Oreochromis niloticus: one gene and its partner. Each later gene encodes a partner of the first gene's protein in a complex. Links are inferred from orthologs where the notes say so. Each region holds a gene or a part of one and is shown in the gene's direction. Other genes may lie near its edges.

Evidence for each region.
Region 2: the proteins of tnpo3 (region 1) and cirbpa are in contact, whole or in part, in a crystal structure (PDB 8CMK), measured with the Homo sapiens proteins. The link is inferred for Oreochromis niloticus from reciprocal best matches to the Homo sapiens genes TNPO3 and CIRBP. Residues at the interface, in NP_036602.1 of Homo sapiens: Arg620, Glu660, Arg661, Cys663, Arg664, Arg667, Phe668, Arg671, Ser698, Cys699, Tyr702, Ser705, Ile706, Asp709, Glu710, Asp747, Asp750, Asp751, Arg754, Arg758; in NP_001271.1 of Homo sapiens: Tyr160, Arg161, Ser163, Tyr164, Asp165, Ser166, Tyr167, Ala168.

Annotation. Positions count from the first base shown.
Region 1 is NC_031981.2:23,252,387-23,260,295, reverse strand, and holds the start of tnpo3 (transportin-3), read left to right. Parts: upstream 1-4,893; 5' UTR 4,894-5,050; coding exon 5,051-5,170; intron 5,171-6,435; coding exon 6,436-6,636; intron 6,637-7,045; coding exon 7,046-7,119; intron 7,120-7,206; coding exon 7,207-7,363; intron 7,364-7,641; coding exon 7,642-7,785; intron 7,786-7,887; coding exon 7,888-7,909. Other genes in the region: opn1sw1 (opsin-1, short-wave-sensitive 1), read right to left, coding at 54-219, 290-458, 535-874. UniProt on the Homo sapiens protein: Importin, which transports target proteins into the nucleus. Specifically mediates the nuclear import of splicing factor serine/arginine (SR) proteins, such as RBM4, SFRS1 and SFRS2, by recognizing phosphorylated SR domains.
Region 2 is NC_031982.2:13,239,538-13,246,734, forward strand, and holds the start of cirbpa (cold inducible RNA binding protein a), read left to right. Parts: upstream 1-4,196; 5' UTR 4,197-4,354; intron 4,355-5,071; 5' UTR 5,072-5,082; coding exon 5,083-5,182; intron 5,183-5,287; coding exon 5,288-5,394; intron 5,395-5,504; coding exon 5,505-5,637; intron 5,638-5,722; coding exon 5,723-5,855; intron 5,856-5,935; coding exon 5,936-6,000; intron 6,001-6,507; coding exon 6,508-6,521; 3' UTR 6,522-7,110; coding exon of another isoform or gene 7,111-7,115; 3' UTR 7,116-7,126; coding exon of another isoform or gene 7,127-7,134; 3' UTR 7,135-7,197. Other genes in the region: midnolin, read left to right, coding at 51-156, 339-572, 1,349-1,530. UniProt on the Homo sapiens protein: Cold-inducible mRNA binding protein that plays a protective role in the genotoxic stress response by stabilizing transcripts of genes involved in cell survival. Acts as a translational activator.

The DNA of each region.
Region 1 (7,909 bases):
TTGATTGATTGATTGATTGATTGATTGATTGATTGATTGATTGATTGACTCACTGCTCTCAGAGCACCCAGCAGCTGGGAGTAGCAGAAAATGATGATGGTAAGAGGAAAGATGAAGCAGGTGATCAACAGGAAGTAAATGTAGCTGGTCGTGTTGTACTCCTCGTTGTGAGTGTACCAGTCGGGTCCACAGGAGCAGCCCAGACCTTCAGGGATGTACCTACCAACACAGACAATCAGTTCACCTGTACAGCACACACATGGGCAGAATCACCTGGTGCCTACAGTACCTGCTCCAGCCAAAGAAAGGTGGGCAGGCACAGCCAACCCCCATGAACCAAGTGAAGGCCACTGCAGCCAGAGCGTGATTTGAGCCAAACTTAAAGGCTCCGAATGGTTTACAGATGACCAGGTACCTCTCAAAGGAAAGCACCGCCAAAGACCAGGCGGTCACCAGACCTGAGGAGGAGGGAGAAACACACCATTACACCTGCACACATCTGTACGTATCCTGCCAATGGATCGGGTGGTTTACCTGCAATTGCGCCCACGGCAGCCTCCAGAGCACACAGCGTGTGACCCAGGAAGTAGTAACCTCGCATGGAGGCTAAGAACACCTGGCTGACGGAGAAGGTGACAAAGATGAAGCCAGAGAAGGAGATGTTGACAAGAATGAAGTTGAGGGGAACTCTGAGCTTCTTGTACTTCATCGTCGCCACGAGAACAACGAAGTTTAAAGGTGTGCCAGCAAACAGGACAAATCCCATAAAGGCAGCCTGCAGGTAAAAGGCCCAGGTAGGGGCCAGGTAATACTGGGGCCCCTCGAAGGGACTGACTTTGGAGATGTTCTCGTACAGGTGGAAGTATTTCCCCATTGTGACCCTGAGCTCTCTGCTGCTGCCGCTGTGTCAGCCTCTTATATACGCTCATAAACCACTTACAGCAAAGATTATGCTGCTGGGATTTTTCTAAACTTTCAGGATTAAGAACTTCTGACTCCTTAATCTGCTTACAGAAGGTTTTCTCTTTGAACACACGGATCCACCCGAGTTCACTTCAGAAAACTCAAAACATACTTCCTGCTTTAAAAGTGATCGTGGTTGCATGCACGTCTTCATTTCTTTCACCTATACATTGTTTTTATAAAACTCTGACTGGTTTTATTTATTTATTTATTTATTGTTTTAGTAAATGGCTCTGGAATTAGCCCTTTAACTCGGAGGAACTGAACCTGGAACCCTGTGGTCAGTTGATGTTACCAAACAGACTTAATTTAATGATTGATTTCACTAACTAAATTATTAGTGATCTAAACATAAAACAGCAATCATATTAACAGCTAATAACATGAAATTCAAACTTTAGTTATGCTAAATGATTTATTTGTACTATTTAAGTTTGGTTACACATAATAACTAGAAACATCAGCATCCATCCAACCAGCTGAGGGTTGTGGGCGGGTCGGTGGGTGACAGGCGGGGTACACTTCATATCAGATCAGATCAGATCAGATCATATCATATCATATCATATCATATCATATCATATCAGATCAGATCATATCATATCATATCATATCATATCATATCATATCATGTCATACCAAATTTATTTGTATAGAACATTTAAAGACCAAAGTGCACCAAAGTGCTTTCCAGTAAAACCATGATACAGATAAAATCACAATATAAAATATAAATTACAGATATAAAATAATTACATAATATAAATGCAGATCCAGATAAAAACCACACTAATTAGCCTTAAAAACCAGGTTAAACAAGTACGTTTTTAGATTTAAAAGATTGAATAGAATCTGATGCGCGAATGTCAGGATTTTATACGTAAACAATAAGATTTTTAAATTGATTTGATATTTGATAGGAAGCCAGTGTAAGTTGGCTAGAACAGGGGTGATGGAATCATACCTTCTAGTGCCGGTTAAAAGACGTGCTGCGGCATTTTGGACCAACTGCAATCATTGAAGGAGGGAAGATTGGAGGCCCAAGTAAAGAGAGTTACAATAATCTAGTCTTGAAGTGATGAATGCATGAATAAGTTTCTCTAGATCTCTGCGTGGTATAAAGGGTATAGCCTTAGAAATTTGGCGTAGTTGATGGAAGCTACTTTTTACCACAGTAGACACCTGGACAGGTCACCAGTGTCAGAGAGATGTGTGGACGTAGGAGGAAGCCATAGAGAACCCAGGGAGGAACAGGGAGAACATGCAGACAGAACCAGGCCAGCTGGTGGATTCAAACAAGGATCTTCTTTTAGTGAGGCAACAGAGCTGACTGCTGCTCTGCTGCCAACTCTAAAAATCCTTCTTACACATGCAGAGGTAAGTCCCTGCTGTATAATATTGTTCATGATATGTTTACAAAGTTTTTAGTGTAATAAACACAAGCTGCTGTCAGGCCCGCAGCAGGGCGATGAAGACTCCTGATGATGAAGAGCAGCAGCAGGTGGCTGACGGATCTAAATCCAATAAGAGTCTTTTGTTTTTCCGTGTGTCCGACTTCCTATGTAATCCGGATATTTCAGATTTACCTGACCAGGTGATCCTCCTCAATCCTCCAAATCCTCAAAACATCGTCACACAGTCAGATTAGAAGACTCACGGCCACTGAAACGGTTAAAGGGGTTCAGCGTGAGGAAGACTGTGAGGAAGAGGAGGAACGCCGAGCCTTTAAGAAGGAGCTGTCCTCCAATCTTGATCACTTCTCCTGCTCAGAGTCCAGAGAGCGTCACAGACAAGAAGAAACTGCTCCATCTCCACTTCTGTTGCCCATTTTCATCCTGGACCGGACGGATGAGGAGAAATGTTTATTGATCGATCGATTGATCAATGATTGCTGACCTTTAGAGCGGGGGCTGTATCATAACCAGGCTGTGAGCTGCATGGAGCATGGGTATGATACGACCTCAGTTTGGAGGTGACATGCAGCCTTAACAGACTGATTAATCATTGATGTATTGACTATTGATTACTTGCTACTATGGATTATTGATTAAGCTCCTGGTGGTTCAGGTATGAAGACCGGAGATTATGTCTACTGCTTTCACTGTTTAATGTTAGGTTTTTGTTTGTTGTGAGTTTGTGCTGTAACACTAAAGGTCACAGTGGCCTCAGGTGTTCATGTATACTGTATTATTTATTTTCATCCTTAATGACTGTTAAATAAAAAAGAACCTGCTGATCAATGAAGTCATTTGATTGTGTGAATCATTACTTTACTTCAAACATTTAAATGAAACTCAGAAGCTGTTTTGGTTTAATTATTATTTTTAATAAAATTCCTTTTTGGAGCATTGAGGCACACTATTATTCATCAGATTTATTATCCTGTTATTACAATTATAACTTCAGAAATGTTTTTAACTTCCAAACTTCTGATTATTGAAACTGAATCAAACTCCAAGCAGCTCAGTTTTTTTTCTGTGAATAAAAATGCCCCACTAAAATGACTTATTGATTAATCAATGCCCTAAATTCTGTTCACAGATGACTTAAAGCCGTGTTTCTTTGGGTTTTAGTGCAGTTAAATTTGACTTTAAAATTATTTTATGAAGATCTCAGAGCTCAGAGCACGTCATCAGGTCCCTGAGCATCTCTTTATCCAGGATCTCTTTTCCATATAGGGCTTCATTTATACTAACATCATTAGTCAGGGTCAGAGGTCACAGGAAGTGGGAGATGAATGTGAGAAATGAACCCAAGGATTGTCAGTCTACCTGAGAGTAGTGGCCACAGCCTGCATCAGGTTTGGTTTAGTTACAAAAAAAAATAAATCTGGAAGCATCAGAAACATGTCAGTCATAAGAACTTTAGCTCACATCATCAGCTGTTGTTGATCTGTCTGTAACCTGCAAGCCTGAACAGCTTCATTAATATCAGATATGAAGCTGAGCAGATGTTGCCACTGGTCGAACTCTTTAACATTGATGTCAGTGATGAAACTAAGCCTGTACCTGCTACTTGTTCATGTTCCCCTAATAAACGAAATGATCAAAAGTGTATTTGTATTCACTCAGATTAACTTTGATATTTAAGTTTGTTTGATCTGAAACAGTGTGACTGCACGCGCACACACACACACACTCGGGGTTAAATGTGATGATTTTAACTGTGTGTAGGTTCTCCGTTATCCAGGTTCAGCATGTTAATTCAGTAATTACAAAAATTTCAAGTGTAAATGTTTGTGATGTTTGTTTATTTTTATTTGTACTCCTTCGTGTAGGATCCCCTCCGTAAATCGCCTTGCTGTAGTGGAGGACTTTTGTGTCCCAAGTATCCATGGAGCTCTGTTGGCTTAGGGGGGCCCGGTGGTAGGGCTGCTCAATCTGCTCAACATTTGGCAATAAACCCTATTCTGATTCTGATTCTTCTGAAGTGTGGTTGGCCTCTCTGTCACAGACAAGGTGAGGAGTTTAGTCTTTTGAGAGGGGCTCAGAGTAGAGCTGCTACTCCTCCACATTAAAAGGAGCCGGTTGAGGTAGTTTGGGCACCTGACTAGGATGCCTCCTGGGTTGTTTTTAGGGATGCTCTCACTTCAGAGATAAAATTTCTCAGCTGAAATGGGATCATCTCAGTGTTCCCCCTGGATAAGCTGTTGAAGGTGACTGGGGTCAAGGAGGTTTGGTCTTTTTGGCTCAGGCTACTGCCCTCACCACCCAAACCCAGGTGTGAGGCAGAAGATGGATGATTATGATAAGTTGTCATTAAATTTAAATTATTTTTTTTATTGTACTGCATTGTAATTTATTGTATCGTATTATTATTGTGCCCCTTGTTTTGTTTTATTTTAATATACTGCATTTTATTTCATCGTTTTATTTTTTAATTACCCTCTCACAGAAGTCTTCTTCCGGGAGGACAAAGCGGAACTTCTTTTGGTGCCCGTGTTTCCGGTGGGACCGGGATTGCAGTTGCAGCGGAAAGCCTGTGAGATGGCGGTCGGCTCTCGGAGCGTTTAGGACCCTGAACCCGGATCCGAGCACCCGGACCCCGAGCTGTCTGCCTCACCGCGTCCCTGTGTCTGACCCGAGCTATGGAGGGCGGCAAACCGAGCCTGGCGCTGGTGTACCAGGCGGTCCAGGCCCTGTACCACGACCCGGACCCGGCCGGGAAGGAGCGCGCCTCGCTGTGGCTGGGAGAGCTGCAGAGATCGGTGAGAGGGCGGGGGGGAGAGGCCCGGGCGGGCGGAGGTCGCTTCGTGTTTTCGGGGATCCGTGTGAAGCGGATTTCAGGGGTTTACCTGTGTGAAAACGCACAGGTGAAATGTAGTGCGCAGTCTCAGAGGAGCCACCGCTTCCGTTAGCATAACAGCTAAGCTAAAGAAAATGAATGGAGGAAAACATGCCGAGCTAGCTGCTATGCTAACTGCTAGCTGTCTGTATGTTACTTTGCCTGCCTGCGCACGTGTGTGTGTCTGTTTGTTTCTTTCTGTGTGTGTGTTTGTGTGAGAGAGTGTGTGTGAATGAGTGAGTGAGTCACCTTGCTGCAGGTGAATAAATGAAGCGCTCCCCGCCTGTGTTTGGACTTCCTGTTTGCGGTTCCGGCTTGTTTGTTTTTATTCAGCTGTTAGCATGTTAGCATGGTCACAGTCAGGTGACCTGGGGTAAAAGGGCAGCCACAGTGCGTGAGGGCTGAAGTTATGCAGGTGAAAGTTTCCCCCTGTAGCAGTCAGCTGATCAGTGAGCATGCTCAGTCGGGTGTTTGTGGAGCCCCAGCTCACAGCCTTCAGTCACCTGAGAACTAATTCGAGCCTCTCAGGTGGACCTGAGGAGAACACCTGAAGAGCTTCAGGTTCAGTCAGAAGGTGGTTGATCTCTTGGGGACAACAGATCAAACGGTTCATTGCAGTGTCACTTAGCTGGAAACATGAGGATGTTTTTCTGGTCAGATGTTCTCCTGAGTGGCTGATGGGCATTAATGATAAGGAGCAGAATCAGCAGACAGCCAACGATTCAATCTTATGAAAATATTTCACTGAAGATTTGATTTTTAACATTTTACAATGTGCCAGTATTACAGTAATGTTCACAATCACCACCTTTAAACTGTAGATTATGTTGTCAAAGTTAAACTTTGTTAGTACCTGTTTTATACAACAATGTAACATCATCTCTTCATTTGCTTTCTTACCAAGCTCACCAAAATTTCACTAAGACCTGCATAAATGTTGCCATAATATGAGTCAGTCTGCAACTGAATGGAGTCAAGTTGGCAATTATGTGCAATCTGTTTGAGATAATACAGCAGTTACCTGATAAAGTTGCCTCCTTCAATTTAGTCTGAAGTCCCCCTCTTCATATTTTAATTAGTTTATTTATTTTTGTTTGGTGTCCCTGTATAGATAAAATATCATAATGTAATGCCGTGTCGATTTTTTTTCTTCTCCCATCCCTCGCTATGACATCACTTCCTCCTCAGATGTATGCTTGGGAGGTGTCAGACCAGCTGCTGCAGCTCAAGCAGGACGTGGAGTCGTGTTACTTCGCCGCACAGACAATGAAGATGAAGATCCAGACGAGCTTCTACGAGCTCCCGCCAGAGACCCACAATGCACTGCGAGACTCGCTGCTGACGCACATCCAAAACCTCAAGGACCTGTCGCCCATCATTGTAACCCAGGTAACTACACCTGTTCCGCCGGTATCAGCATCTGATCGGAGTCAATAGGACTTCATTGACTCTTGACTGATCCTCACCTTTTGTTGTTGGCTTGAGTCAGCTGTAAAGTTGTCTCAGTGGGGTTTCCCTGGAAACAGCTGATTATCGCTTTAGTTAAGAGGAATGAGTGCTGTCACAGAATCACCCTGAGAAATATTTCTTACTTGTGATGTTTAATGTTGGCTTGAGCTGGTTAACATCTGCTTTAATACATCTGTATGGTTGTTACCACACCTTGTCGGAGGGTGGGGGTTTAACTTTAAAAAGTAAGCTGAACTTGCAGTGACATCATCAGGGTTTTAAAAACAGAAAGTTTGTCTGTGAGAGTTTTTACTTGTGTAACTCAGACCTTCATCACCCTTTCCCTCAGCTGGCTTTGGCGATCGCTGACCTTGCCCTGCAGATGGCGTCCTGGAAAGGATGTGTTCATACACTGATAGAAAAGTAAGAATTCACAAAATCGGCTCACATAATGTTTTCTCTGAAGCTGGTCAGTGACTCACCTGTTCCTCTGTCTCCACCCCTTCTCAGGTACAACAATGACATCAGCTCAATGCCCTTCCTCATAGAGATCCTCACCGTGCTCCCAGAGGAAGTTCACAGCCGCTCACTTAGAATCGGAGCGAATCGGAGGACAGAGATCATCGAGGACCTGGCGTACTACTCAAGCACCGTGGTTACCTTGCTGGTGAGACACCTGTCTGACTCTCACCTGTCAGACAGCTCAGTAATGCTTCAGTCTGAACAGCACTGAATGTTGATCGTATCTGTTCACCGGGCCAGTGGCTGTTTAACTGTCACATGATAGCCACATTAGCTGCATGTTGTCATTAAGGTAGGGGTGTGGCTAGTAATACAACCATAATGATAATGTGGCGGAAACTGTTATCACTCAAAAATTGGGGATGTCACTGATGATGTCACTAATCTTTATTTAAACAGGACTCTGACTTTATTTGTCCTCAGACAACCTGCGTGGAGAAAACTGGGAACGACGAGAAGATGCTTATTAAGGTGTTTCGCTGTCTGGGCAGCTGGTTCAACCTGGGCGTCCTCGACAGCAACTTCATGGCGAGCAACCAGCTGCTCATGGTGCTTTTCCAGGTCCTGGTAAGTGTGAGAGTGCGATCAAGGTCAATGATCTGATGATCACGTGAGCCTCTATCTGGAATCGTGTGAATATTTCTATGTTACCCCAAACTGTCTCCACAGCAGAGGGACGAAACCTCTACCA
Region 2 (7,197 bases), on another chromosome or scaffold:
TATTTTATTACTCAGACTTATTCCTTAAGGTGGATATTTGTCCCTTACAGAGTAATGCTAATGCTTCATCCACTGCACAGCTGCCCAATCCTCCAGGAGCTGTCATAGAGAGTTTCGTGAGACACTCACCTGGCATCTTCTCTGGGACTTTCTCTGGTACGTCTGCTCTGGAGACTGCTCAGCAGTTTTTGTTTGGTCTGATTAACATAAACCAGTGATGTTTCCTAGTGTTGCAACAATACGGGTACTCTTTCTAATCTAATGAACTTTCTCTTTTGAATAGCTTTTTTTAGGATAAGGAGAGAAAAAAGTAATAATAACTCCTTTATTCCTCTCAGGCACCCTGGCCCCTTGCAGTCAGAGCGGTTTCAGTCATCCTCGACGTGGTGTCGCCATTATTCTCCAGATCCTCAACGACCTCCTCAAAGCCGCCTACCACCACCAGGGGGCTCCAGTTCCTCTTCCTCTACACCGCTGTCCTGCTCCAGGCGCTGAAGTCAGCCCGCTGCTCACAGCAGAAGAGCCCAGACCACCAGCGATGCAGAGGACAGAGGCCCTCTGCGGAGCTCCAGGTCAGTTCAAGCGAATATTATTTTGGAAACTTGGAGAGCATGTCATCATAACGCGCATGTAAATGCATGCAAATCCTGGGATAGTGTGCATTTTAGAAATCAGGACAGGGAAATGAAAACAAAAACAATAAAAAAGAGACTGTTTGAGGCCCCCAGAGAATAAAACACGCTCGTGTTTCCTCCCAGCTGAAATAAAACGAGTTTCTCTGCTGTGTCATATTTAGTCACGCAGCACTTGTGCAGCAGTTACGCAGGCCTTCGTCAGTATAAAGACTATTACAGTCTTTACAGGCAGTGTTAATGACAGCTCATCCACGAGTGTTTACGCTTCCTTATTAGGCTCCGACTGTCTCGTGCTGACGGGGTTTCCTGTGGATTTGTATGTTTGGATTAGAGCTGAAAATATGAGGAAATCAAGCAGAACAATTGCTTCACAGCTTGTCTGTCAATCGCTTCTATGTAGTTAACTTTGAGGGTTTTGACAGGTGGAAGAACAAGACGAAGCATTTGACAGCTGCAGCTTTAGAAAATTCGACTGGTCGTATTTTTACTGCGTCAGAGAAACAGATTCTGGGTCGGAGCTTCGGGAGGTCGTCTTGACCATGTCTGTATGTTATTGGCTGATTGGATATTTGCATTAATGAGCAGACATACAAATTAAGCCTGACAAAGTGGCTTTTGAGTGTATTTCTTATGCAGTAATTAATGGCAGAGCACACCATAAACACCCATGGAGACCTTAGTTTTCTGTGCCTGATCGATTTCTTTCTCTGTAGGTGACGTAGGCCACGAGGGTCCCGTCATACACTCGTCCACAGAGGAGAATCAAACACTGCACTGTAAGCTAGAGCACCTCCAGCTCCTGATGCACGAGAGGCGTCTACGCAGGAGGGCTCGCAAGACCTCGCACATCTCACAAGGCTCTCATCCGTACCAGAAGCGCCACCATCACCCCTAGTCTCTGAATGTAAAAAGACCCGCTCACTATGATAGATACCAGAGCTGACCTTGCCGTACAGGGCTATAAAAAAATGAGCCTTTGTTAGTATTTTTCTACTATCTGAAACTATACGTCTAAATGTTGTGGCTTTCTCTGTGTGATGTGTAATCTGAGTCTGTCCTTCAGTGACGGCAGCTGCGGCTGTTGCAGTATGTAGCACGTGTCACATAGATTTCCCTGTTGGTGTTTTACTCTATGTACTCTGATGCCTTAATTGTACATGTTTTGAATGTAAGACTGTGTTTCGTTCCATGCAAGCAATGTTTCTTGAAAATATCTTATTTATGAAATACAAAGAAGCAAAAAAATATGCAAATAATAAAGGGAAACAATAAAAAATCTGAAAGCGTTTATGAATGGAGCCTTTTCTTTTTACATGAAGAATATAATGTTGTCTTCGTCGTTTTGTAGATGAAAATGTCTCAGCCTTATTTTACTAAACATCCTTTCTGTTTGTTTGTCACAGCTAATCTTTTATCTATGATCAGGAGATATATATGTGGTGAAGATGAATGATCTATTTCAATATTAAATGCTTAGATCCTTTCAAATACTATGTGCTCAATCATCCATAAGGCTAGGAACACCTGCAGTCAGCACATTGAATGGATGAGTGGTGAAATGTTTCTCCCACTGAAAAAACAGAGTCTGGATCAACAGAAGCAGCTTTCTAGGTTACTCTGTAACCTCTGTGCTTTGTCGCTTTTCATTATTAAGAGCCATATGAGTTTCAGAGAGGTGTTGCCATCTCTCTTAGTGGAGCAGAGGTTTCAAGAAAATCTAAGTGGTGCAGTAAAGCTGAGCGTTACGATCTAAGATATAATGAAATGTTGGTTCTCCTCGACAGTAAAAGCACAGGAAGTAGAAGCACTGATGTGCAGCCAACCAGCATTCTTTACACTTCTTCCATGATAACAGCTGAACACTTCAGATTGTTTCGGTGGGCCTTTAAAGACAAGCAAAGGGTCTAAAACGTGATGCTTGAGATACCAGAATTTGCATGCCTACCCTTAAGTTTCATCATGGAATCCTGGCACATCTTGTCGAACCTCTGGAACATTATTAATGCTGATCAGTTTGGCCTTGTACCTGACACCATCCCTTGCTTGAGATACCAGAATTTGCATGGATAACTATGTGTATTATTAATGCTATGACTCTTTAGAGGCACTCCAATGAGTACTCTGTGAAAAATGCCATAAACTAAAGCATTCGCCTCCCTGTAGCCAGCGTCTGAAGCTGAGCTCACAGGATGCAAATCACAGCGGCACAACATGAAACTGTTCGGGATGAGCTGAAACATCTGTGCCTGCTTTCGCTGCTGACGTGCAGACAAACACGAAGCCTTGCTCAGGTGTAGCCTGTGTGATCTGCAAGCTGAGAGCAGAAACAGGCGAGTGGAAGCTCTCTCGTTCGGCTATCAAACGACGATCAGCACACAACTGGGTACTGCAGCACGAATGCTGGCGTTGTTTTCGGTGCAGCTCTGTTGATTGTGATCACTGAGTGTGCAGCTGCAGCAGCACGCCCAGCGCCACAGATCAGACAGCACAACGGCTGCTCGTCCTGAATCCTAAAGACCGCCTGTGCTGCAGATTCGGCGCTGCAGGCACAGTCGGCCATGATAGTGTAGCCTACACACTGCTGCCTGCCCGGATGAATTCGTTTTGGCGGTATCAATCCGATCATTTACAAGAAAGAGGATGAAACCCTTTCCCTGCACGCTGATCTATTCCTTTAAGCGCTGCAAGAACGCTGCAGATGACAGCTATGGGTTTTTGAGCCTCCTACACAGTCGTTCTTTTCTCTCTCTTTGCCTCCCCCACACACTCCATTAAAACACACTGCATCGCTTAGACGTCCATGTGCAGATAAATCTTCCTCCCACACAGACAAACAGGACTTCGGCCCCACACACCTTACCGCCATCGTGACTCACGCAAACAAAGCACTCGAGGCTTGCAAAATAAACACAGTTGAATCATTTTCTCCGTTAACAACATATGAAAGCGACTTGCAGTTATGACTGGCATTCATCTGACTACACTCATTGTTTGTGTAATTGTGCTAGCACGCTGTTATTTTATTGTACTTGAAAACAAAGCATCTCTGGATTAATTATTAATCTGGTTTCTGTTTAAGACACAAATATACGCATACTTTCAGTTTAATGTCTTTGAAGGCCACTTCAAAGACATTAAACTGTCTTTGAAGTTTAAATTTATATTTTTGGTTGCAAAGTCAAATCAGATACAAATTATTATTCAAATCAGAGTACGTTATTCTGTGCTGCTGGGGAAACTACTTGGAGATGAAAAGGCCCAGAAGTGACTGATGGGTTCACGGTGAGGGTTGAGATTGCATCAGGGATCGGCTCTGAGGACCTCGTTTTTTGCGGGGTAATATTGAGATACCAGGCAGGAGGACAGAGGAGCTTCGTGAAAGAGGAAATGCAGATAGGTTGTGTAATGGTGGAGAATGCTAAAGATAAGGTGAGGGGGAGGCAAATAATCCGTTGTGGCGACCCCTAAAGGCATCAGCCGAAAACGAAGAGGAATTAAAGACATCTAAATGCGGCCCAACCTAACAGCACTATGCTGCGTCACCCTAAACAAAAGATGGCGCTGTTTGCGGCTGTTCTAACGGTCTGCCGCCCAAACAGCAGTAGAAGAAGGAGTGAGTGCGCATTGCAGTGAAAAGCGGATCGCGCTCGTTCTTCCCCCTCATTCGACCTCCATCGCAGCTCCCAGCAACTTCCCTTAAATCTCCGTGAGAGACAAAGGTAAATGCTTTTCTTTGTTAGGTGTTGTGTCTACACGGTGTAGGTTGTGAAATATAATCTTATTCATGTGCATCTGTATTTGTAAAGTATGAAAAGCATTTTTTTATCCAAGTTGACCTTTTCTATTAATTGAAAAAAATTAACATACGTTTTGTCGCTTTTTTTTTATTTGATCGTATTAGAATCGGGTTTTTTTCGATGTTAAAATGGTAAATCGTTTCAATTTGCAGAAATATGTTAATATATTGTGTTTTCTGTATTAATTGGGGCAGTTATATAAGCTGAAAAATAAGGCAGTTGGCCGCCCCTCGAGCTGGCGCAAAGTAGGTCATTGAAACAAAAGCGTGTAGCGTGGTGCTACAAAATGGCGCTGGAAGAAAAACCGCCAGCTAATCCGCTAACGAAACTGCGTCACGTTTTCAGGCCCAAGGCCTAGTGTGACTCATTTTTGAGTTTTAGCAACGATTATCGGTCAAATATGATGTAGTTTTATGATAAATTCGGATTTAATGCTCTGTTAAACGTCGGGAGGTATGTAGGTCATAACTGCGCAAGCAATGATCGCCATTTTATGAAACTGCTCCGGTGACCTACTTTCTCTTTGCGGCTGTTTAGCGATCGTGTGTGTCGAGGATTTTCGACGATCAAGAGCCCCGTCTTAGTTTTAAGGATTTGTGAGAGACTTTTTTTTCATTGCCTTTATTTATTTTTTTGTAGCTATAGCAAAAATGTCGGACGAGGGAAAATTATTCATCGGAGGTCTGAGCTTCGAGACCAACGAGGACTCCCTGGCTGCGGCCTTCGGCAAATACGGAACCATCGAGAAGGGTAATTAAAACTCTTTATTCCTCTTGAGTGTATATAGATTAAAATGACTTTATACATAAATATTTTACTAAATATGTGGCCTAATCGGAATTTCTCTCTGATTAGTGGACGTGATCAGAGACAAAGAAACCGGAAGATCTCGTGGGTTTGGCTTCGTAAAATACGACAATGCAGAGGACGCTAAAGACGCGCTGGACGCCATGAATGGAAAGGTAGAAATCATGCTGCTTCATTTATAATCGAATTTAAATAAAAAAAAAAAAAAATTAAATAATTAATTTGATTTTATTTATACATTCTTACATTTCCTGTTGTATTGCAGACGCTGGATGGACGTGCTATTCGGGTGGATGAAGCTGGAAAGGGAGGGCGCTCCAGAGGCGGTTTTGGCTCCGGCCCACGAGGAGGCAGATTTAGCGGCTCCAGAGGGAGAGGTGGGCGTGGTTATTCCCGAGGTGCGACGTGGGAATATTTTTAAAAAGTTGAAATTAAAGGTTTATTCTAACAATATCGAAATTAAAACTGATTTGACTTTAATAGGTGGATATGGTGGAGACAGAGGGTATGGAGACAGGAGTTATGGTGACAGAAGCTTTGGTGGTGGAGACAGGAGCTTTGGTGGCAGTGGATACAGGAGTGGAGGATATTCCTCAGGCGGCTACAGGGAAAACAGGTAAATAATCAGAGCTTAAGTTTGTTTGAATGCAATTTGTTTCGAATGCGTTCTAAATGCAAGTTTCTTGTTTGTATTAGGGGGCAGGGTGGATATGGTGAGCGTTCAGGATCTGGATCCTACCGCGATGGATACGACAGCTATGGTAAGCATCAATAATATGTATTTCAGGTATTTGGGTGCATTTATGTTGGGGCTGTCTGTACAAAATCTAAAGGAACATTGAAAGCACATCTCAGTAACTTGGCATAGACAAACTCTGCGCAGCACCCCTCTAGTTTTTGAATACCTGCTTTAAGTGGCAGGTTGAGATGCTGTACACATCAACACTGTAAATTGAGATTTCACAGCCCCAACATGTGAAGCCTATCACCATGTATGCCCCTCAGTTTTGTGCCCAACTTGATGCCTCTTTCCAAACGGTTGCCAGATTTCTTTTGTGCCCCTCTCTGACAAAGAGGCTGGAAACCATTAGAACCACTTAAAGCAAACCCCGAATGTCACGTGTTCTCAAATTGCGAGGAAGGCAAGGACCCCGTTATGCAAAAAGAGGGAGGGTTGTTAGACAGGCGGGTTGAAAGGGGAATATTTGTAAAACTCCAGTGTTCGAACTTGCAGTGTCTTTACCTCTGTGCCCACTTCTTATCCTCAGCTACACATGAGTAAACATCTCCCTGATTCAAGATCTTCACTTGGCTGGCTGTTTTTCAAAGATGCGCTCCTCAAGAAAAATGTCCACGTGTTTGCTGACCTTAGTTCTGTAGTTTTGTTGTAATAGTTCAGCATCTTTAAAAAGAAGAAAAATGTAGCAATGGGTTCTGGTCATTCCTGTTACAAATTACAGTTCAAGAATCTTAACCATGCTTAATTGGACTCATTTCTCAAAGATCGTGCAACAAAAGGCATCTGTAATCTGATACTGTAAAGTCCCATTTTTGGGGATCAAAACAGTTCTCAACATGGCTTTTCATTGAACAGCCACTACCATTGCTCTAAACTTTGTCCAGCACTTGAAGTGCTTCCTGATTTGATTCCTTTTCTTATATATTGCAATATCTGGGGCTTGTTTGTGTTCCTTATTTTCCCCCTCAGTCTCTGACTGACCTACCTCCTGCCAGGTTTTAAACTGAGAGGAAAGATATATGCTCATAAACAGACTTTTGGGAGACTTGATGCTAAATTCAAATTAATATTAAAAAAGAAGAAAAAAAACCTTAGTTTAACTGAGGCTCCTGTTTGTTCAATTTCCCAAAAGAGTGAATTCCTTTCAGACTGGTGAACTACACATCCGAAGTGGCCGGCTGTTCATGAAGTTGCAAATTGCAGCATGCTACAGTCTGTC